4 linked regions of the Schizosaccharomyces pombe genome follow. The protein of the gene in region 1 interacts with the protein of each later gene in a pairwise test. Each region holds a gene or a part of one and is shown on either strand. Other genes may lie near its edges.

Region 1 (5,348 bases):
TCAATAATAGTCGAAAGGTAATTGCATCGAATTTTGGATATACGGGATTTTCATGTCAGCAGCTGATTCTAATATTTTCAACAGCTACTTGCATTTGACAGTAGATATTACATGTATATATAGACAGTTTTACCATCACGCTATTTCTTGTGGACTTGGTGAATTGCCATTCTCGATTAACTTGTGCATATACTATCCGATATCAGATTTAAGATAGCGAGGATCGACATGGAGAGTTAATACTTTAAACCATGACGTCATGCAATGTATGGTTGAGCTGTTTCAACACCAAAAATTTGTACTATCCATCAACAAGTCATACGCGTTGAAACGATCTTTACCCTTTGACATCCCTTCTTTTAGAGATATTCAATTTTTACCGTTTAAATAGTTTTCAATGGCATCTGAGCGCGATCCTCTTCTGCCAGTGCATGGCGAGGGTCCGGAGAGCCCTTCTCGTAGAAATTGGAAAACTTGGATAAAACATGGAATTCTGTTAATCCTTGTTTTATCAACCGTTATATTTTTTTATTTTTTCTCGTCTCATAAGTCCAAAGGGACCAATGAGAAACCAAAATTTGTTATTATGATGGTTTCTGACGGTAAGTGATTGGAGTAAGCTCTCTCATAAATCCGTTGCTCTTTTGAAGGAAAATGATTTTTTTTATATTTAGAGCACTGGGACGGAATCTTCCTTTTTTTTACAATATTTCTCGGTGACTGACTTTTTTTAAAGGAATGGGACCTGGCTCTTTGTCTATGACTAGATCGTTTGTAGAGACTCTAAACGATAAAGAGGGTTATAGGCTTCCCTTGGATGAGCATTTAATTGGCAGTTCACGGACACGTTCCAGTTCGAGTTTGATTACGGATAGTGCAGCCGGAGCAACCGCATTTTCTTGTGCTAATAAAACCTACAACGGAGCTGTTGGTGTTTTGGATAATGAAAAACCTTGTGGAACTATCTTAGAGGCTGCTAAAGAAGCCGGTTACTTAACCGGAATTGTTGTCACAAGCAGAGTTACCGACGCTACACCTGCCTCTTTCTCTGCTCATGCCGCGAATCGATTCATGCAAGATTTAATTGCTGAGTACCAAGTCGGGATGGGACCTTTGGGAAGGAGTGTTGACTTATTGTTCGGTGGTGGACTTTGTTCATTCTTACCTAAATCTACTTATCGATCATGTAGATCCGATAACTTGGATCTTTTGAAATATGCTAGGAAAAAAGAAGGTTTCCAAATTTTGCTTAATAGAACTGACTTTGATGAGCTATCAAACGCTCAATTGCCTTTGCTTGGTTTGTTTTCTGATTATCATCTCAGTTATGATATTGATTATCAGCCTGAAGTGCAACCTAAGCTTTCTGAAATGGTAGAGACGGCTTTGGATGTTTTGCTCAACGCCACTAATGAAGATACATCTAAAGGATTTTTTTTGCTCATAGAAGGGAGTAGAATTGACATGGCCTCTCACAACAATGACCCTATCGCTCATGTTTACGAAGTTATGGAATACAACAGGGCCTTTGAAATAGCAAGTGCATTTGTAGAAAAGAATGGAGGATCTTTAATCTCTACATCGGATCATGAAACTGGTGGTTTGACTGTTGGTCGCCAGGTCTCCAAAAAATATCCAGAGTATTTATGGAAGCCGCAAGTCCTATCTCTTGCTCTCCATTCTATTGAATATCTCGCTTCAGCTATCGTGAACCATAACCAAAATACGTTGCTTCCTTATATTGAACAGTTTGTTTTACCCGCAATTGGCATTCCTGACCCTAATCCAAAGCAGATTCATGACATATACGTGGCCCGGCATAATATATTTAATCTTATAAACGTGCTTAGTGATATTGTTAGTGTAGAAGCACAAATTGGCTGGACCACTCACGGCCATACTGCTGTCGATGTAAACGTTTATGGAGTAGGAGAGGTCACTGAACATCTTCGAGGAAATATGGAGAACATTGAAATTGGACAGTTTATGGAGATATACTTAAATGTTTCACTAAGCGATGTAACTGAAAAGCTCAAAGATGCTCCCATACATGGTGCCCCAGATCGACCTAGTTTAGTGGAAACTTCATTTTCCGATCGTCTTGTAGGTTTCGGTGCTGATTTGTTTTAAAGCCTTTTAATCAAGATTGCCATAAATATATAATTTAGAATACTCTCATATATGCTCAGCTTATTTAAATCGCTTAATTATGGCATTCAAATTCTTTTTAAGTTAAACCTATTTTACTTCTTATCTTTTACTTTATTTAATTTCCACTGTGGTTGAGATATCCAACAATTGCGATTTAAGAGCAAACGAATATTACAATTATACATACAACTTGTCGCAATAAAGATAGTTAACATATCCATAACGAAAATATTATAATAATATTATAATAACAAACACGTTAATATATCAAATATCACAAACATATCGGGATATCATCCATATCATCCACGACAGCCGCGATTACCTCCCTTACAACGATTTTTTCGTAAACTTGAGAGAATGCCTCCATTGAGGCGTCAAGCGTTGACTTTAGCTGAAAAAAAAGCAATTAGAAAACATTATTTTGAGTCAGCAACTAAACCTTCGCAACAAGAGCTTATTAGTTGGTTCGAGGAGCACTTTCATAAAAAGCTAGCACAATCTACCGTTTCGTCAATTCTATCATCAAAGAACGAATTTTTAGATAATCTAGACGCAGAAAACTCTCAAATAAGAAGAAACCGCCAAGGAAAATATCCTATCTTAGAAAACGCCCTTATTGACTGGCAAACGAGGTTGCAAAAACAAGACGGAGCAATTACTGGAAACGCCATCAAAAAAAGCGCCGCAGAATTGTGGAGACGTATACCGGAGTACTCTGAGCTTCCGATTCCAGAATTTAGTAACGGTTGGTTAGAGAAGTTCAAAAAGCGTTGTTTAAAACACGGCCTTAAGTTACAGGGTGAATCTACTTCAGTAAATCAAGGAACGTATGAGGAAAACATGGTTCAAATACAGGAATTAATAAGTCTTTTTGATCCAAAAGACATCTTTAATATGGATGAGACGGGGCTATGCTGGAAACTTATTCCCAATCAATCTCCTGCGAGTGAACGAGTAAAAGGAATTACGAGAGATAAGGCTCGTGTCACCGTCACTATTTGTTGTAATGCTACAGGTTCTGAAAAGGCCCCTCTTTGGGTGATTGGATATGCTAAAAGTCCAAGGGCCTTTCGGCAAGCAAATGCTCATCCTGATTCCATGGATTTTCATTGGCGATATAATGGAACCGCTAGGATGACCACTTCCATTATGGAAGAATGGCTTCGTTGGTTTGACGATTTGATGAAGGGTAGGAAAGTTCTACTTATACTGGATAAGTTTGTCGCTCATGAATGCGCTTTGGAAAATATTCGCAATTCCGAGCGAAAGTTGGTAAACACGACTGTTGTTTTCCTTCCTGTAAATTCTACAGAAATTTACCATCCTTGTGGCCAAGAGATAGTCTACGCTTTTAAATCATACTACAGAAAATACTGGCTTAATTACATGCTTGAGGAGATTCGATTGGGAAAGAACCCCAGTAAGACAATGAATGTACTAAAAGCAGTTAGATGGATGATTCGTTCTTGGAACGTTGACTTTGAACCATCTATAATATACAATTGTTTCCTTCGTTCTGGGCTTTTTCAAAATCAGCAACCACTGACCGGTCCTTCTCCAGAAACCATTAGAATCGCGGTGAATTTGCAAGAATTGATAGGAAAATACCTTGGTGATAAGGATATTTTCCAAATCGAAAATTTTATTAACCCTATTGAAGAAAATTCTGCTGACACTAATGACGATATCGTTAACCAAGTTGCTGCTCAATTTCTTGATGAACGAGAGTTTGAAACCGATGAAGAAGAGGAAGAGTCACAGTATTTGTTATCAACAAAGGATGCGATAAATGCCATCAATACTTTACTAAACTTTCAAGAGCAATCGGAAGATGGAAATGTTTTGTTTACTCGAACATTACTTCAGTTTCAAAAGGTTTTAGAAAGCAGATCGATTGTGTAAAGGTTGTGGGAATTGGAAAATTTGTTTCTAACGAAAATGTACACATTTTCTATACTTTTAAATAATTTTTATAGAATATAAGAAAGATAAATAATTACAGTGAATTCTTAAAGGTTAACTACTAGACGTACTATTTCAATTAATGTGAGATTCGCGCTAAAAGCGTTTATAAACTCAATAAGATATATTGATAAAATAATAAAGTGAAGAATCAATTGTTTAAATTACGAAATTGAATTGGGACAAATTTTTTGTTTTGCGAAAAATAAGCATAGCGCAATGCATTAATCAACACAGTATGACTGTCTGTACTTGTCAACTCCAAACGCCATTATTCAGCATTGCAATTGAAATTGGACGTTGTGAGAAACAATTGAATGGATTTTTTTGAAGATAATAATCCATTCTCTGGCTCTGACAACAGAAGCGCCTCTTCTGCTGTCAATGTAGAGCCAAAAGTTGAGCCATCACAGCACCAGGGCTCTTCATCTGTCAAAGAGAATGCGATTAGCCAACCGAATGAGAGTTTTCAAAGTAGAAACATGTTTTTTCAAAAGGACGTAGATAGTGTTGTTGATTCAGCCCTCGATCCAAACGGAATTGTAATTACTGGAGCTATGAAGGCTGAGAGTGGATCACACATAGTATATATAATCAAACTTCAAGTAAGTTAAGGAAATTGGTTGATAATGTATTAAGTCGAACTATTCATTGTAGAATCCTTGCTTCATTCTTCTCTTTTGTTTGGAAGTATTGAAATGTTTGATTACTAACGGTTTTTAGGACTCAGAAATACACCATCGATATTCAGAATTTGCTTCTTTGCGCGTACAACTTAGCCGCCTGTATCCTACTTGCTTGGTTCCTCCATTACCTGATAAACATAAAATCATGGATTACTTGATAAACGTCACCAAAAACCAACGAATGTCTCGTATGCTCGAAGAAAGAAAGAGATTATTACAATTATTTTTGAGAAGGGTAGCACAACACCCTATTCTGGGCCTTTCAGAAGTTTTTCGAAAATTTCTTAGTCGACATGTATCTTGGAAGGAAGTATTGCATAGTCCTCCTATTAGTTGTCTCCCAAAGGATTTATTGAAAGCCCCACCAGCTGATCCTTCTTCTAAAGAGAATGCTGAGTTATACAAGGAGCTGCCTATTCCCTCTAAAACCCTTGTACCTCGTGACAATTATGACGATGTTGGGAAAAATTTTCTTATGCTTGAAGATACGCTACAGCAGTATTCAATAGTAGCACAAGAGGAATCCAATTTATTTAATCAAATTGT
Region 2 (6,752 bases), on another chromosome or scaffold:
TGGATCGTTGAACGAGTTCCCCATTGCTTTTAGGAGATTTCGAACGAGGGTGTCGGAATGTGCTGCTCGGTAAACATAGAAAAAACAATAAAAACCAGTTTCCCAGTCAATGCAGAATTTGAAAACTGTTTGTAATGAAAATAATTAATCGTGTCCGTAAAAGCACAACCTTTAACACGAAATTTGTTTAATTGAGAAGATAAGATGGGGTTTTCGCTTACATATATTTAGACAAGCGCAACATAATAGGGTAAGTATCACAGGAAGAAGAGGAAAAATTAGAATACAATTTTAAAATCATGACAATGTAAGTAGTGTAAGAGCGAGGACTTCTATAATATTTGACAGCGGCAATTCGGGAAAACATATTGCCTAAGTCTGATTTTTTTTGAAGTTCATTATTTTGCTCAAAGGAGTGTGCTGAAAGAAATAAATAAATCAGCGTTAATAAAATTTAATATAAATGAATCAGAATATAAGTTAGATGAAAAATTCGATAAGTAAGCAATCAAGCAGTTTAACTGTTCGGCTAATAATACACGGGCAGGTTTATTCCTATAATATCTAACGGGTGGTCTGCATTTGATATGATCATTGCAACGTTGGTGTCTGACAGAAAAAAGTCGAATTCTTATAGATGAATTCTAGCATTTCTTCAGTCAGAAAAATATATCGAAGACTCTAAGTTTACCCTTTAAATGTGTCACTTGTGGTTTTCTTATACGGAAAAGATACAGAACAATCCACGGCTAAAGGAGATCCTCATCCAACAACCCGAGAAAGTCTATCATTTGGATGAACGGATACTCATCCAAAACTTTCAAGAATTGTGTTTTTTTTGCTTCTATCTTCAATGCCCTGTATCGAACTGAATTGCGATTGTCATTAATTTGCCTTGCTATGCCATACCAAGCCAAGCTATTTTAAGCAAACGGTTTAGTTGGACTCCAATAATAAATGCTTTACAAAAAAGAAATGCGATTGATAAACTAGAACACTCTCCAATGTATGTCTACCAATTCCTAAATACTTTCAATTCGCAACATTCTTATGGCCTTTGTGGTCGCTTCAATTCGGCTTTGAAAACCGGGTTAAAAGGCATCGCATAAATTTGTATCTTCCAAAACAGTTGATTTTATAAAAAGCTCATAAATAATTTCTCAGCGCGAGCAAATGGTAATTTCTTTGAAATCAGCGCCTTTGGAATTTTCATTTTACGCCTTATTGACATTCCCATCGATATACGTAACATGTTACTCCATGATACATGGTTTCAGCTGATGCCAAGGCATCGTTGCGTAAGCATTACGAAGGAATATGATGATGGAAGGAGGCATGGGTTGGGCAGTTTCTGCAGTCTGCTAAATTTAAATAGTCTGCCTATATATATTAAATCTCTCGCACTTTTATGACCTTCCCTCTCCCATACATATTTGCAAGTTTGCGTATAACGTTGCTTTCTAACACAATTTACTTTTAATCCACTTCAAACACTTGGTTTAGCTTTTAAAGAAAAGCTTAGGATTTTGCTACTGTTTGTTACGAGGAATTGTTGCAGAAGAATTCAATTTTTTTAAGTCGTATTTACCAACGATTTTATTCAATTTAAAAAGTTTGACTTTCATAGGCTGTTGCTTAGTTTATCGTCAATTCCTTGCGTATTGCCGGAACCTAGTTAATATCTAAAAAAACACAAACAAACCAAATTCCAAAAGTGGTTGAAAATTGCCGCTTCGCTACTTTTACTATCTCCGGGAAAGAAGACCTGTAATTTAATTTTTTCTTCTTCTTCCAATTCGTACTATTAATATTACCGCTAGTTTCTTCTTATTCTTTCGCCTACTACTTAATTGTTCAATATGCAAATTACTCGTGAGTCAAAATACATTATTGGGCTCGTCTTAGCCTTGGGTGTAAGCTTTGCTACCCTTTTGGCTCATTTGTTTACCAAACCATCTCTTGAATGGGTTTACAATCACCATGCCACTCCATTTTTCGCCAACAAGTTCATGCTTGGTGGCTACCTCTTGGTCGAATACTTGTCTTTCCTTTTGATGATTGTGCCCCTTTTAATGCTTGGTGATCAGGTAAACGATTTTACCTTCTCCATTATTCACACATCTATCTGGTACAATGTATTTGTCGTGTTTACCGTCTGGGCATTTACCCGTGAGAAGCTGTACTGGACTGCATTCTTTTCCTTGTGTCTATTCTCATCTTCTTTCACCATGTACGGCCAATCGCTTCGCTTGAGAAATGGTTTTGTTGAGATGATTAGCATGAAGTTGCCCTCGAAACTTGTTTTTGGCAAGTCTCTTTGGTTCGTTGTTTATGCCTTCTCTGCCGCTTTACACTGCACCGGCATTGGTTGCCGCGTCTTTTCTAATGTGTTTATCTGGTTCTTTGCCGCCATGTATCTTGTTCCTATTTTAGGATTCCATGACTGGGCTCTTTCCCTCGTCAGCGCATACCTTTTCCTTTCAATCGGTATTGGACAAATGTTTATTCACCTCTTTGCCTTGCAACACATTTTCGCCTTTATCATTGCTGGTCTCATGACCCTTTTCGCTGCTCTTCTCTTCCTCCTTCCCTACAGACAGAGACGCGCTGCTTTAACAGGCGAGAGTGCTCCTTTGCTTCAGGACAACAACGCGGGACCCGCAGTTTAAACTCTTGTAGTCTTCTGCATGTTGTTGCTCCGTTCTACTAAATAGTATGATAATGAATTTGCTTAATTGTATTATGTTACACTTAACTTTAGTATAAAAATTTAATTTTTCTCCCATAAATCTTTCGACTCAAAATTCAGGTGGATAGCAGATTAAAGCATAGTTTTGACGATCAACTTCATCATGGTTAATAGCACCCTTCTTAGTATAAAGTTGCTTCGTGTGCTAACTTTACAAGCACTTCATTGACGAAGACATCCAGCTTATTCTTATATGGATCACGAAAGTGTCATCATATTCAACTATTCGTACTCTGGCTAACTTGTACGCTAATTATTTAATCTTATTTGCTTCATGTATTTATTAAAGAACCCTTAAAGCAAAAAACTTGGTATACACTACTTTTTCTTTACTTAGCTCAATATCTCAATTACTTTCTCATGCCGACGGTTACGCACCTCCATTCAACCTTGGCCTACTCCATATATCGAACCATCAAAATTCCTTCATCTTGGTATTCTTGAGGCGTTAAATACCTTCTTTAAACCTTTTCTTTTTACAATTCCTTCGTTTTTCTTGTTACTGTAAATATATATCAATTTATTTAAAGTTTGCGTTCAAAGTTCTATAAACGAATTTTACGTTCCAACTACTGCGTTTGACCTTTTTTTTCTCTTTATATATACAAATACCAAGTTATAAAAAAATTCATGTTTTCCGTACGTCTAAACTATGAGTTTTCATACTGACTGATATAGGCTAAAGCAAAAACCTATGAACTAAAACTAGAACAAACAAGATGTAATGGAGATTGGCAGGCAATTCCTGAGGTTGCTAGAAAATTGCATAAGCATAACTCTTCAAAGTCCTGTGAGTGATTTACAGTCAAAGTTTTCCACTTGTCATCTAGACTAACCTTTTTTTAGTCGTTTGTGAATTAGCAAAAATTGAAGCTTCTCTTAAATCAGCATTAACTGCTGAACTAAAAAATATTGCAAACGTTTTGGAGCCTAAATTAATAGATAATCAGTATTCCCTAATTCCGGCTTTACCCAGTGCTCGTACCGACCCTCTTCTAAGTCAATTAAACTCATTGAACATTCAAAATGCCACAGAAGATGAGAAGCTTCAGGAGACATCCATACGCTTGTTATTATACATTGTACAGCGTAAATTTCCCGAAGCCGTAGATTTAGATTGGTCTCCTCAAGGAATTCCGTGGACTGAAACTTCCACTGGTATATGCATCCTACAAGCAACAGTGCTATCATCGCTAGCTCAATATGCTCAAGCTAACGATGAAGTTGCATATCAATACGTTCGTTCGGCCATTGGCTTAATTCAAAATGCCAATATTGGCAAGAAGCCTTTACCGGAACTTACAAGATGGTGCGATCTTGCATATTCATTGTATGCTCAAATGTCTGTAAGCGCTTGTTCGAGTCAATTAGAAAGAGCTAATATACTTACTACATGCTTGAGCTATTTTACCGAGCATAAGTCCGTGAATTTGCTTTATAAACTAGTTACCAGCAGACAAGCTATTAAATATTTGGAACATATTTTAAGAACTAATACAAATGGATCAAAAATTTTTACTAAAAGTCCGGTTAAAAATCTTTATTTAAATTGGCCTCAACTTGTCCTCGATTATGGGTCTTTGTTATGTAACTTTACCTCTTTTCCTAAAGCTGGTGATCAAAACATGTTCGCCGTTGAATTTATTGAACTTGCAACATCAATATGGATAAACACAGAGAAATCTTACGATATCACTGTCAGCTTGATTCGAATGCTTTATCAGCTTACTGGAAAATGCTTCCAAGCACAACAAATTTTTCGTTCTTTGGTATTTTTTTTAAGGCATATTGAGGAATTTGAAGAAGCTAGCGAGGCTTTTGAAATTTACAAGTTTCTATGCGTAAAATCTCACGAACGGTTAGCAAGAAAAAATTCAGATGTCGCTGGCTCTTTTTCTGATATCAAACCAGTGTTTGTTGATGAACCGAAAAGTATTATTGAAGTATGCTCCGTTATGATGACCGTTTATGCGCAATATCTTCGTAATTTGAAAAAAGTTTCTGAAATACTTGATTATATTACAAAAATTGCTTCTGATTATGATTTACTGAAACGTGACGATATTGCTCCTTTAATTTATCATACAGAAGGAGTTGCTTATTCTTTCATGTATTATCAAGCTAACAACCCTTCGTTAAGGGAAAGATATCACCAGAAGAGCGTCCAATCTTACCAGAAATGTCTAGAAAAGCAACCAACCAATACAAATGCACTTTTCCATTTGGCTATGCAATATTCGGAGAGACGTGCCATTACTGATGCAATGCAAATTGTTCGGCGACTTCTTGAGGTGAACCCTAAGTACAGTATTGTATCTTGGCATCTTTTGGTTTTGTGTGTGTCTTGTTCTGAACAATACGCAGCAGGAATTAAGCTGATCGATAGTGTATTTGAAACTTGGGGCATTAATCATGTCAATGAAGATGGCACTATTGAGATTAGTTTGACAAATTTGACATTTAATGACCGCTGCGCTTTGGTCGATTTATTGATTACGAAACTAGCTCTTTTTGAAGCCGAAAAAGGCGTAGAAGCTACTCTGGATATCCAGGATGAAATATTTACATTATTTGCTAGTATTTTTGATTTGAATGAGTACAGGATATCAAAGGAAGGATCGTCAGATGAATTATCAACGCTTTTAGAACGATCGACTATTCAATCCATTAAATCATCCAAGAAAATCTCTAAAGATGTGGAAAATGAAAAAGGAAGTATTCTTGGGTTTTCCAGGAAATCATCGCTTAAGAGATCTACTGTTTTAAGCAAAAAATCCCACTCTTCCTATAAAGAAAATTTTCAGTTACGTCGTGGTAAAACCGTATCATATCTCAATCAGAAGCTTTGGCTTACCGCTGCATCTCTTTTCCTTAAAAGTGGAAATGATGATCAAGCACGAAGCGCTTTACTAGAAGCTAAAAAAATAGACCATGAATGTGCTTGGGTGTACTATTTAAATGGTTTATCTTTACTACAACAGGGAAAAGAAGTTGAAGGGTATGAGCAACTTGACGTTGCTCATTATTTAGACCCGGAGGATCCCTTAATTTCGACGGCCCTTGCAAAGTGTCTTTTACAAGGTGGCTATGGGCCTATGCATTCTCGTAGAAATAGAGCAGATGCTATTTTATCGAGCTGTACTTTGCAGTATGGCTGGGATCTACCAGAAGCTTGGTATTATACTGCAGAAATATTTCGTCAACTCGGTGATTTAAAACAAGCTGCGTTTTCGTATGATTATTGCATCCAGCTAGCTGATACAAACCCTGTACGCCGATGGAGTAACTTGCAGCCTAGGTTTATGAACGTTTAAACTGTCTACATTTTTTGGACTTTTATTATTTATAAATTGAATTTACAAACTTTAAGGCACTTTCAATAGTAATTTATATGTTTCCTTTGTAGTGATTGTAACTTCAATATGAACTCACATAATAGACATAAATAGATAAATGTTATTTATGACATTGTGTTAAATTAATAACGAAGCAATTGCACCTTGAATCAGTATCTATAACAGTCTTCTTTCCAAATCACCAACAAACAAATAGCATTAGATAATTGCACCGAAAATAACGATTCAAGGACATTTCAAAATTAGCGATTATTTGGTCTGTATTTGCAGCGTCAAAAAACTAAGAGCTTTCAGGAGTGTTGTCTATAACATCTTTGGAAGATTCAGTATAGGCAGAGGATCTTGAATAATATTGATCCAAAATCTTCTTAGGAATACGAGTTAACATCTCACGAGGGAAGATGCGAAGGAGGGACCAAGCCAAATCCAGTGTTTCAAAAATAGTACGATTCTCGTAAGCACCTTGACTAATGAAAGTCTTTTCAAATTTACCCAAAAATTCAAGAGCAAGGCGATCTTCTTGAGAAAGGGCTTCCTCGCCAACTACTGATTTCATGGAAGCAGCATCACGACCGATGGCATACATTGCATACAGCTGGTTAGAAACATCACCATGATCATTTCTAGTCATTCCTTCACCAATGGCA
Region 3 (5,093 bases), 3.7 Mb from region 1:
TATTTATTTTTCAATTCTTTTTATTATTTTGCATTTTTGCAATGTAAAAATATTATAATATTACACAAAAGGATATAACTATGAAGCTACACAAAGCATTTTATGTTCATCGCTTCTACGGCGCAGGTAATCAGACGAATTTTAAAAGTGTAATTGGTGATTTAAAAAGTTTATGTTATGAAAAGAAAGTTAAGTACAATAAGAAAGCATTAAGCATGTGGATGTAATTATTGGATGTGTTAGTTTACTCTCTGCATAAGTGCTCGGTGGTTTTATAAACTAGTGAGAAGAATGATTTCCGAGTACTACTTGAAGTTAAGAAAATAATTAATACAATCTCTTTTGAAACTAACCAGTCCATAATAGTATTCAAAGAATCTGGAAAGTACAGAATTTTTGGGAGCCTGACACTGATGCGTTATAGTAAACACGGTAATGTAAATTTGTTAAATATTTAGTTTAACGTAATGGATTGAGGGTTACCATAAATAGAATTCATAAGAAAAAATGGAGGAAGGGTGTCTTTATGATGTCCGCTAGCATTAAAGAGCATTTTTTTATTCAAGGATCGTATTCATATAACTGGAAGGCTATGTTAAGCATTTTTTTAATGCCTTTGTATGATTATTGTTACCTGATTTATGTTTACGTTATCTATGCGTGGTGTCACTAATTTGCAGTATATGTTCATGTGAGACGCACATTCGATAATTTACCATTAACGTGCAAGTTACATTTATTGAAAGTAGGTAATTTGCATTCTAATGGGTGGTCTCGTTGTTTTACTTGTCGGCCTTTTGACGGCCTTAATGAGTGTAGTTTCTTACTATGTCTCGCCCAAGGGAAATAATACTAGGTAAGAAGTTTGCTACTGATTGGAGTGAATCATCTATATATCGAGGTATAGCAATTATGTTCCCATTTAAAGTCTTGTGTTATGATCAGTAGCTTGTTTTTACTTCGTTTCATTTTCGTTTAGAGATATGGAAAAGTATATGTGATTGTCTTTCTTGCAACCAATCAAGGTAGCGCTGTTTAGGCCTTGTCTTCAGCTGCACATGGACAATCTGGAATTGGGATCAGTTGCTTGTATTATATTTTCATACTCCTTCCTTTAACAAAAGTTTTATTAACTCTCAATTAGTACTTGGCAGATGTCATTAATTCTTACTTTTTCTTGTTGCTATTTATTATGGTTAGTGCATTTGTGGTGTTCTTATGCATCCATATTGTTTTTCTTTTTTACTAACATCGTTCTTAGGGCAATTACTTATTTAGCACAGTTGCATCCATTAGAGGCTCCATCTCGAGTTCTTGAGTAATGAAGTTTAGTATAATCATAGTGATTTTTAATGTTTGTACATTCTTCCTCTTTTATTTTACTTATCGTTTAGACTGCAAGCTTTCCAATTAGAATCTACTTTTGAACCTTTTCCTCTTCCTATTTTTTGATACTATTCGTTTCTGATCGTCGGGCTCAACTTTCTAGTCTCTAAAATCCTATTGGTGTTTGTCGATTATTATTACAAATCAAACACGTTTGAGTATTTCTTATTTTTATAATCCATATCTTTAAACGTTTCTTATTTTAATATATATATGGAGTCAGTTAAGTCATGGCTGGAACCTGGCGTTATTTAAAGGTCGGTTCACGTGGATTTCAACATTGCATTTAATCTTTGCGAAAGGATATACCTTCATTATTTCTTTTCTTTGATTTTACTAGATTTATTGGTCTCCCCGTCTTTTGGTTGTCGCTTTTTCTTTTACTCGGATGTGTGTATGAAAGGCGACGTATATTTACGTTATCAAAAGCCTTGCTACAAATATACTGAATCATATAGAAATACAATAAAAAATTGAAATAATAGACACAACAGGATATTCAAAAGTTTTTTTGGTGCCAAAAACTCTAAGATGTTGTAAGTTTAGTTTAATATTTGGACTGAAGTTCATGATAGTAGTGGCGCTCCTAATACGCAATTTTAGTTGACTAAAAAAAATATTTGAGATAGAGAAAGTCTGAATTGTTATTAAAGGTCTACTGGCTTCATAAACACAAGTTCGCGACTATTCAACATTGTTCCACTATAGCACATAGACATTTGCACACACTGATAGTTAAGAAATACATTTTACAGTGTGATTTTGAACGGATTGGTTTCTTGAAAAGATAGGAAGACTGAAAAAATAAAGATTCGTATATAAAAAAAGCGAAAAACTTACACTAGTGATGTTGAATGCGATATAATTTTCTGTTATGAAGAAAAAAGGGTTGAACTTACCAAATTTACGCATTTACTAGATTTTTCGTGTATTATACCTTTTTAAAATGAAACAAGAATATATTCCGCTAGACGAATTCCCAAACAAGTCTAATGAAGGGATGCTGAATGATGAAGGTACCTCTTCTTCTGGCTTATCGACAAGAACGCGTAGCTTAGAGCTTTTTGACAATATGGAAGAAAGTGGCTCCTTTCCAAAAGTGGAAAGGAAAATACAATCGCTTTTGGATGAGCTGGCTGAAGTGTTGTTTCAATCTAAACAGCCCAACGACTTGACCAGGATTCGAAAAGCCATCGCTGAGCAGTTGCAGTTATGGTGTCAAGCTTGTCAAGAAAACGCTGATTTATATAGGAGCCAGCAAAGGAAATTGAAGAGCCGTTGGGACTCGCAGACAGACATTTTATCCCAAATTGAATCGACCAAAGCAAGTCTGGCAGAGGTGCACAAAGCGGAAGAAATATCGAATCTAAAGACAAGCATTACACATTTAGATGAGGAAATTCAAATTTTGCAGGAAAAGTTGGCGATTGTAACGAACCAACGAAACACCCTTGTAAAACGACTCCAGACTTATGATAATCTAGAAAAGAAAAAGGCACTCAGTATGGAAGATCGCCTTTTAACTCTGCAGGAGCAGTATGATGCACATGCTAATGTATCTTCCCTTGAAAAACGGATGGAAGTATTGAAGAAAAGAGAAGATCTTTTGCGACTAATGGTCGGGCAAGCACTTCCAGGAATGCAATTCTTCCAACGTTTGATCCATCAAATCCAAGCTGTCGAAACAAAACTAATCTCAATACTGGGGCCTACTTCTTTATCAGAAGCTGCTTTGCCTCCATTAACTGACGTTCAGCGCACTAGTGTATTATCACTCTTGACCTCGACTCTTCACTCTTTGGAGTCGGCGAGACAGATTGCTGACTCCAATACATGGAAGCCAATCATTGTTTGTTTAGAGCTCGAAATTGTATATTTTGAGAATATGCTTACTGCGATAACCTCGACTCCCGTTTCTTCCTAATAATTTAATTTTCATTCCGTATACTATCAATACAACCTTCTAATATTAAAATATGGTCATTCAATGGCACAATGCATTCCTTGGCGTGTTGACCGACAGCCTTACTACTTTTACCCTGCACGGCTTCAAGATACCTGTTAATTGTGGAGAAATATATATTTCATACATGATTTTACCTCCAGATTTTCAGCCTCATCTAGCACCACATCGTTAAAATCGTATATAATATTTATTTCAGCTGTATTTTCGGCATGATATTTATTTAATAACACCAACTTTGATCATCTTTGATTTGTCTTCTCAAACTCTCTTCTACACAACAAATGACAAAATGTTAAAGTAATGCGAGTCGAGTTCATTAGTGATTCAATTCAAATATGCTATTGAATGCCTATTTCCATACTTAAACTGTCAATCTCCTACCCAAATCAAACACTGTCATAATAAACATCCCTGAATCTAAAGCTACCTTAATAATCTTTGTTTTGTCTTGTTCAACCATCAACCTACTACAAACGAAACAGTTTTCAAAAAGTAACACCATTTTAGTTTTCAAACAATTCTACGCTAATACCACGTACATTCACTTTCGGTTCACATAACCGATTCTGTCAAACATCCTCAGAATGTCGTTTTCCATTTCGAACCCATTCTTTCAGTTTTCCATTTCCATTCAATACGACACAGTCGTATGAAGATGGATTCTAGCTTATTTGCAAAATGTCACGGAACCAAGAAATCCGATTTTGAACAAACGACATTGCGGCTCCTTGTTCGTCGCAATCCTCCGTTTGAGTGAAATTCATCGAAATCACTTCTAAAGCTACGCTGTCTTATTTTTGCCGCACTCGGACTTTGACATCACTCTTAAAAATCATCGAGCAATAGAATTGTTGATCAAACGGCTTGCCACGCACTTTGTCTGCTGGTGGTATGAGACGCTAGTGAAGTTAACTATTACAGCAAACATCGTTCACCTACATATATATTGAATTGAAAGCCCGCGTTGCCGATGGGCAAAACGAATGAAACAAGAATCTTCCAATAGCGAAATTTAGACATCATATCGCAAATATTACTTTTAACTGCGTAGTTTAAAATTCAGGATCGAGCTTATCTGCAAAAGAAAAGAAAGGGAGATCATTGTTCTACGCTTATTATCATAGCATTCCCCGATTGCTACTGACCTTATCAAAACTATTCTTGCAAATCCCATTCTCTTTTCGCTTCGTTTTTGTCCATACAGTGGAGTTTGGGAATTTTTAAAATCTTTTCGTTTTTTTTACGGCTTACAAGATTTAAAATTTCTCATTCATACACTTGATTACTTATTTTATTGTTTCGTTTTTGTGTGTGTATTTTGTTTCTACTTGTCGTTACTCCTGTCATTTTCGTTTGATTAATTAAAAAAAAAGATATAAAGGCTAATCTTTTCTTATCTCTGAATTGGAAAGGATTTCTGCAAACTATTCAAGCCACCGTCTGCAATTATTATCGTTATCTTGCCATTGGTGTGTCAGTAAAGTGAAGCAGATTGTCAAAATATTTGATTTACTAAATATATTATAACTGTTTCAGGTAAATTATCTTATTGCTTGAGTAGTCAAATTAAGGATACTGAGATTTCTATATAGGAATTCCTTCATATATCCATCTGATAGCCATTGCGCAATTGATTTGTAATTCCTTGCAAACAGACATTGTTGTATGTTTGTATAACTGAAAACAGATCTTTGTCGCTATATAGTGTTCTCCATTTATCCTACAAAAAAGGCTTACAAGT
Region 4 (6,067 bases), 570 kb from region 1:
CTTAAAGAAAAGTATGAGGTTCATCATGGTGTTACTATCTCTGACCGTGCCTTGGTTACTGCTGCCCATCTCGCTTCCCGGTACCTAACTTCTCGTCGTCTTCCAGATTCTGCCATCGACTTGGTCGATGAAGCTGCGGCTGCAGTTCGTGTTACTCGTGAATCTCAGCCCGAAGTTCTTGATAACCTTGAGAGAAAGCTTCGACAACTCCGCGTTGAAATTCGTGCTTTAGAGCGTGAGAAGGACGAAGCTTCCAAAGAACGTCTCAAGGCTGCTCGTAAAGAGGCTGAACAAGTGGAAGAAGAAACAAGACCTATTCGTGAGAAGTATGAATTAGAAAAGTCTCGTGGAAGTGAACTTCAAGATGCTAAGCGTCGTCTTGATGAGTTGAAGGCTAAGGCTGAGGATGCCGAGCGTCGTAATGATTTCACTCTTGCTGCTGATTTGAAATACTATGGTATTCCTGATTTGCAAAAACGTATTGAATATTTAGAGCAACAAAAAAGAAAGGCTGATGCAGAAGCGATTGCAAACGCTCAACCAGGCTCAGAACCTTTACTTATTGACGTAGTTGGGCCCGATCAAATCAACGAAATCGTTGCAAGGTGGACTGGTATTCCGGTTACTCGTTTGAAGACAACTGAAAAGGAACGACTCCTTAACATGGAGAAGGTTCTCAGTAAACAAGTAATTGGTCAAAATGAAGCAGTTACTGCAGTTGCAAACGCCATTCGCTTATCTCGTGCTGGTCTTTCTGATCCTAATCAACCAATCGCATCTTTCTTGTTTTGCGGTCCTTCCGGTACTGGTAAGACTTTATTGACAAAGGCATTGGCATCATTTATGTTTGATGATGAAAATGCAATGATTCGTATTGACATGTCTGAATACATGGAAAAACACTCTGTTTCACGTCTCATTGGAGCACCACCCGGTTATGTTGGACATGAAGCTGGTGGACAGCTTACTGAACAACTTCGTCGACGACCTTACTCCGTCATCTTGTTTGACGAGATTGAAAAGGCTGCTCCAGAAGTATTGACTGTACTTTTGCAGGTACTAGATGATGGACGTATCACTAGTGGCCAAGGCCAGGTTGTTGATGCCAAGAATGCTGTTATCATTATGACTTCTAACTTGGGCGCTGAATACTTGACAACAGACAATGAGTCTGATGATGGAAAGATAGATAGTACCACTCGGGAAATGGTTATGAACTCGATTCGTGGCTTCTTCCGTCCCGAATTTTTGAATCGTATCTCTTCAATCGTTATCTTTAATCGTCTGCGTCGTGTGGATATCCGCAATATTGTCGAAAATCGTATATTAGAGGTTCAGAAACGGCTTCAATCCAATCATCGCTCAATTAAAATCGAGGTTAGCGACGAAGCTAAAGACCTTCTTGGAAGCGCTGGTTATTCCCCTGCTTATGGTGCAAGACCTTTGAACCGTGTCATTCAAAATCAAGTTTTGAATCCCATGGCTGTCTTAATTTTGAATGGCCAGCTTCGCGATAAGGAGACTGCTCATGTCGTAGTCCAAAATGGCAAGATATTTGTCAAACCAAATCATGAAGCTAATGCAAACGGCTCTGCTGATATTGACATGGATGGTATTGACGACGATGTTAATGATGAAGAATTGGAATAAATGTATTTCAAATGAGAAAGTTCTAACGATACTTTATGATATAGTTTAATGATATGCTTAATCTTAATATATTTTATTTATTTATAAAAATATAGTATATAAACTTTTTAGGAAGTACTGTTTTCTCATTAAAATGTTCAATGAACTTTATCGAATAGATAGAATCAATTTAACAAAAGCTAAGTACATCGTTTTTAGTTATTAGCAATTCAAGTATGATGAAACATTGAATCTTAAATTTATCAAATAATCCATTGTTATTTACGAAAAACCTCCATTTATTTTAGTAGGTATTAATTAATGCAGTCCATTCAAGAAAGTCGAGCTTGTAAGAAAGTGCTCGTAATTCCTTATAAAATCAAAGCAGAATTAGCTCTCATACTTTTAGTAGATTTTAAATTGAATTTACATGATTAACTTTAACATTTGGTAAATCACTATCATATCATTTCATTACTTTCTACACTTGCGCATTGCATACTAATACGCATTCCAGTTCTCATGGTTCAAAGCAACGTTTAAATTAACAAGTTGTATAGTTAAACTTATACAGTGCTTTGCTTCTAATAGCCATTATTACCAGGAAATAACGAGATCACAGTTGCCCGCATACCATTAAGCTAACGAAACTTTACTGCACTAAACAAGAGACTAGCTTTTCGTAATTGTAATAAGACTTATCGAAAAGTTGAACCAGAGATCTTCAGTTCAGTAGATCATTGCCTTTCTCAAACGAAGCTTTAATTTATACTTCCTTAAAAATAATTGATTAGTCATATTTTCATGTTATACAAACTCTGTCATGGCTTCCAATCCGCTAGATAATAATATGCCGACGACTCCCGTTGAGGAAAAAATTCCAGTCGCTAGTTATTCTCCTAGCTCTTCTGGTAGTAGTTCCGGTGCTAGTTTACTAGTAGATATTATGTGCGGCAGTAAAGAAACTGAGGATGAAGAGGTTGATTCTGATGAATGGGATAAACCAGGTATGAATATCAACTATTAACTCCAATACCTTCAAGGGTACGCGCAAGTCTATTTGAATTTACAAAATTTACAATTGATCAACGATTTTGAGTTCAGGTTAGCTATGTGCTTTTCATATACTTTAGTTTATTTTAATTATTTAAAAAGTTAACGATTCCTTAGAAACAGAAAACATAAGTGATTTGGATGAACGATCCGAAATGGTCAGATATTTAAGGGCTTCAGGTAAGGAGTTACTTAATTTACATTTTAACTAGTATTTGTAGGCTATGCGAAATTCTTGGAGAAATATTTAATAGAAGAAGAGTTGCCTGTACGATCGATTTTAAAAAAACTTGGAATCAATTTGGTATGCTTACTGATTTATAACTTGCATTACATTAAATTAGCAGATTATTTTTGTTAAATTGCAATAATAATTTGGTCTACTGCATGTTTTGTTTTCTTATGACTTTACCTAGATTTATTAACGTAAATAGCCTAGTGCACTTGAAGAGTTTGAAGACATAGAGTATGCTTTTCTTTAACTTCCTTCTTATCTTTTTATCTTTTATTTTTTAAAATATCTGCTATCGATATACTAACGTGCTAATTAGTTTACTTCCTTTGCTGAAGGAAGTTTTAAAACGTGAGGTTGCTAGGAGAATCAAACTTCCACATTTTAATACCTTTGAAGATGTTGTTAATTTATTGAAAAAAGCTAAAAATGTTGTCGTCCTTGTTGGGGCAGGCATAAGTACAAGTTTGGGAATTTTAGATTTCCGTTCAGACAATGGTTTTTATGCCCGTTTGGCACGCCATGGATTATCGGAACCTTCTGAAATGTTTGATATCCATACGTTTAGAGAAAATCCAGAAATTTTTTATACTTTTGCTAGAGATCTTTTGCCGGAGACGAATCATTATTCCCCCTCGCATGCCTTCATTAGATTGCTTGAAAAGAAGAATAAATTATCAACATTGTTTACCCAAAATATAGACAATTTGGAAAAAAAGACTGGACTCTCCGATAACAAAATTATTCAATGTCATGGTAAGTATTTATTTTCCGATTTGCATCTCGAGCACTGGTGATTTTGTCTAATTTGATTATATAGGGTCTTTTGCTACCGCAACTTGTATCAAATGCAAGCACAAGGTGGATGGATCGGAGTTATATGAAGACATAAGAAATCAAAGAGTTTCTTACTGCAATGAATGCGGAAAACCACCCTTAAAATTAAGAAGAGTCGGTCAAAATAAAAAAGAGAAACATTATTTTTCAGATGGTGATAGTGAATCTTCTGAAGATGATCTAGCTCAACCTGGGATTATGAAACCTGATATCACATTTTTTGGGGAAGCCTTACCGGATTCTTTCTTTAACAAAGTCGGGAGTGGTGAGCTTGAAGAGACTGATTTATTAATTTGTATTGGAACTTCTTTAAAAGTGGCTCCTGTTTCAGAACTCATCAGTGTTATTCCTCCTACTACTCCTCAGATTTACATTTCGAGGACTCCTGTTCGTCATACCCAATTCGATGTAAATTTTCTAAGTCCTTATTGTGATTGGGTTATTGTGGAGATTTGTAAACGTGCTGGATGGCTGAATGAATTACAAGCGCTTTGCGATTTACCTGAGTGTCATAGTGGTTCCAAAACGCGAGCTTTCGAAACGGATTTGGATATAAAATTTGAGGAGCCCAGCACCTATCATATCACGAGCACAACAAACGGTAGTTGTTAATTTTAGGACTGATCGATCTATCGAAGTTGAATGTAGAAGCAAATATATTATATACATATATCGAGTATGAGAGCCAGATTATTGGACATTAACTTATTATCCGTTTGAGACTTCTTAGTTTTGTAAGTGCCATTGTTAAAAACTGTTTTTTCTCTTCGCACCTAATGTTTAAATCTGCTAAACTGGGTGAAAACACATTAAAACAAGTTATAATACATTTTACAATACCAAGGACTGTGTAATTAGTAAATGAACATTGAAGCAAATTACATTCATAGGCTATGCAAAATTAGCTACTTTTTTAAGCATAGTAAATCAGTGAAAATGACACAATTATTATTTAAAATTGAAAGATTGATTGGTACATATCAATACAACCAATGAAGCATCTAATTGTACGATACTAAAGAGAAACAACTGAAAACGGACAATTAGAAATTGGTCAACGATATTGACACTCAAACTCAAAAGAAGAAAACAGATTTAATGAAGAATATAAAATGCACGGATCATCGAAAAAGCCACCAAATCAAGCCCATTTACCTAACAAAGCCATAACTCCAGTACCAGCCATCGAGCATGCCAAAAGGTAAATAAGCTTATACCAGTTACGTTCTCTTTCAGGACTAAATAAGAAATCGTGTGCAAGTAATTCCACTAAACCAGCATAAACCAAAATTCCAGATGAGATAGCATCCAAAACACCTTGGGCAGCATAAGACCCATGAGCAAGAGGATCCCAATGCTCACGAACACCTAAACCAGCTGCCATACCAATAGGCGTAACCAACGAATAGATAACGCCCAACACCCAAGGTACCCATGCAGTTTTTGGGCCCCAGGCCATTCCCGCCAAACGAGAACCTAAACCACAACCTTCAAAGGCCTGATGGAAAATAATGACGGGAAATAAAGTTTTAAATTCTTCACCTGAGACGGCAGTTGTAAGACCGATAATAACACTATGCAAAATGATACTAGATTCAAGAATTATAAAGGCAGTAAGTTGTTGCTTTAGTAAGAAACTACGAGCTTCTTCTTTAGTAGTCAAATCGGTACTATCAGTATTCGTATAAGGTTCTAGTTTTACTTCTTCCAAGTCATCCTTTACACATTCATGCTCAACACCATCGGCACATTCTTCAATATCATAAACTGGATGTTCATGAACACCGTGAGCACCGTCTTCGTGACTATGACTGTGTTGTTTGGCACCAAGAGTTGGACCATGATGATCGCCGATTTCCATACCGAACCGCCATTCCACATAGCGATTCAAAAGGACCTCCAACAAGAGAATAAACCAACAAGAAATAAGACAAATACCTGGAGCCCAATCGTAACCTCCGAAAAGGTCGTCAAGACAAGGATCGTAAAGCTTGTTACAAGCAGGGGCTAACAAGTGAATAAAAGCAGTAGCCAAAATAACACCAGAACCAAAATAACGAGCGAATAGATAGAGATATTCAATATAAACGTTGGGTCTGTTTTTGGTGATTTTAGAAAGGACCAAAGGTAAGTTCATGCCAATTAATGAAGTAGCCAAGATAACAAAGATGGCACCAATACGATATCCCAGATGACCATATTCGTTGAATTCATTGGCATCACCTCCACAAGTCACAGTAGCAGAGCTATCATCGTCTCTTTTTACCAATGGACTATATTGCTTATTAAGAAAAAGATGTCTCAATATTTGGTGAG

What was found.
Region 2: the proteins of cbh2 (region 1) and ypp1 interact in a two-hybrid assay, tested with the Schizosaccharomyces pombe proteins (one large-scale study listed by BioGRID).
Region 3: the proteins of cbh2 (region 1) and SPOM_SPBC1685.04 interact in a two-hybrid assay, tested with the Schizosaccharomyces pombe proteins (one large-scale study listed by BioGRID).
Region 4: the proteins of cbh2 (region 1) and sir2 interact in a two-hybrid assay, tested with the Schizosaccharomyces pombe proteins (one large-scale study listed by BioGRID).

What each region holds. Positions count from the first base shown.
Region 1 is NC_003423.3:4,179,574-4,184,921, reverse strand, and holds cbh2 (CENP-B protein 2), read left to right. Parts: upstream 1-2,483; 5' UTR 2,484-2,511; coding exon 2,512-4,056; 3' UTR 4,057-4,185; downstream 4,186-5,348. Other genes in the region: pho8 (alkaline phosphatase), read left to right, coding at 398-602, 737-2,130; sorting nexin Snx41, read left to right, coding at 4,434-4,721, 4,840-5,348. UniProt on the Schizosaccharomyces pombe protein: Binds to the central core and core-associated repeat regions of centromeric heterochromatin.
Region 2 is NC_003424.3:4,540,695-4,547,446, forward strand, and holds ypp1 (cargo transport protein Ypp1), read left to right. Parts: upstream 1-3,141; 5' UTR 3,142-3,379; coding exon 3,380-3,388; intron 3,389-3,427; coding exon 3,428-3,539; intron 3,540-3,595; coding exon 3,596-6,063; 3' UTR 6,064-6,252; downstream 6,253-6,752. Other genes in the region: SPOM_SPAC637.03 (uncharacterized protein), read left to right, coding at 1,860-2,669; vma2 (V-type ATPase V1 subunit B), read right to left, coding at 6,386-6,752. UniProt on the Schizosaccharomyces pombe protein: Involved in endocytosis.
Region 3 is NC_003423.3:500,541-505,633, forward strand, and holds SPOM_SPBC1685.04 (uncharacterized protein), read left to right. Parts: upstream 1-2,123; 5' UTR 2,124-2,332; coding exon 2,333-3,310; 3' UTR 3,311-3,653; downstream 3,654-5,093. Other genes in the region: vma9 (V-type ATPase V0 subunit e), read left to right, coding at 765-856, 1,145-1,195, 1,262-1,322.
Region 4 is NC_003423.3:3,607,942-3,614,008, reverse strand, and holds sir2 (histone deacetylase, Sirtuin family, NAD-dependent Sir2), read left to right. Parts: upstream 1-2,322; 5' UTR 2,323-2,452; coding exon 2,453-2,636; exon of another isoform or gene 2,637-2,799; coding exon 2,800-2,862; exon of another isoform or gene 2,863-2,899; intron 2,900-2,903; coding exon 2,904-2,986; intron 2,987-3,116; coding exon 3,117-3,148; exon of another isoform or gene 3,149-3,233; coding exon 3,234-3,670; exon of another isoform or gene 3,671-3,734; coding exon 3,735-4,363; 3' UTR 4,364-4,792; downstream 4,793-6,067. Other genes in the region: heat shock protein Hsp104, read left to right, coding at 1-1,650; plasma membrane ZIP zinc transmembrane transporter Zrt1, read right to left, coding at 4,893-6,067. UniProt on the Schizosaccharomyces pombe protein: Involved in silencing within the mating-type region, at the telomeres, and according to PubMed:12867036 also within centromeric DNA regions.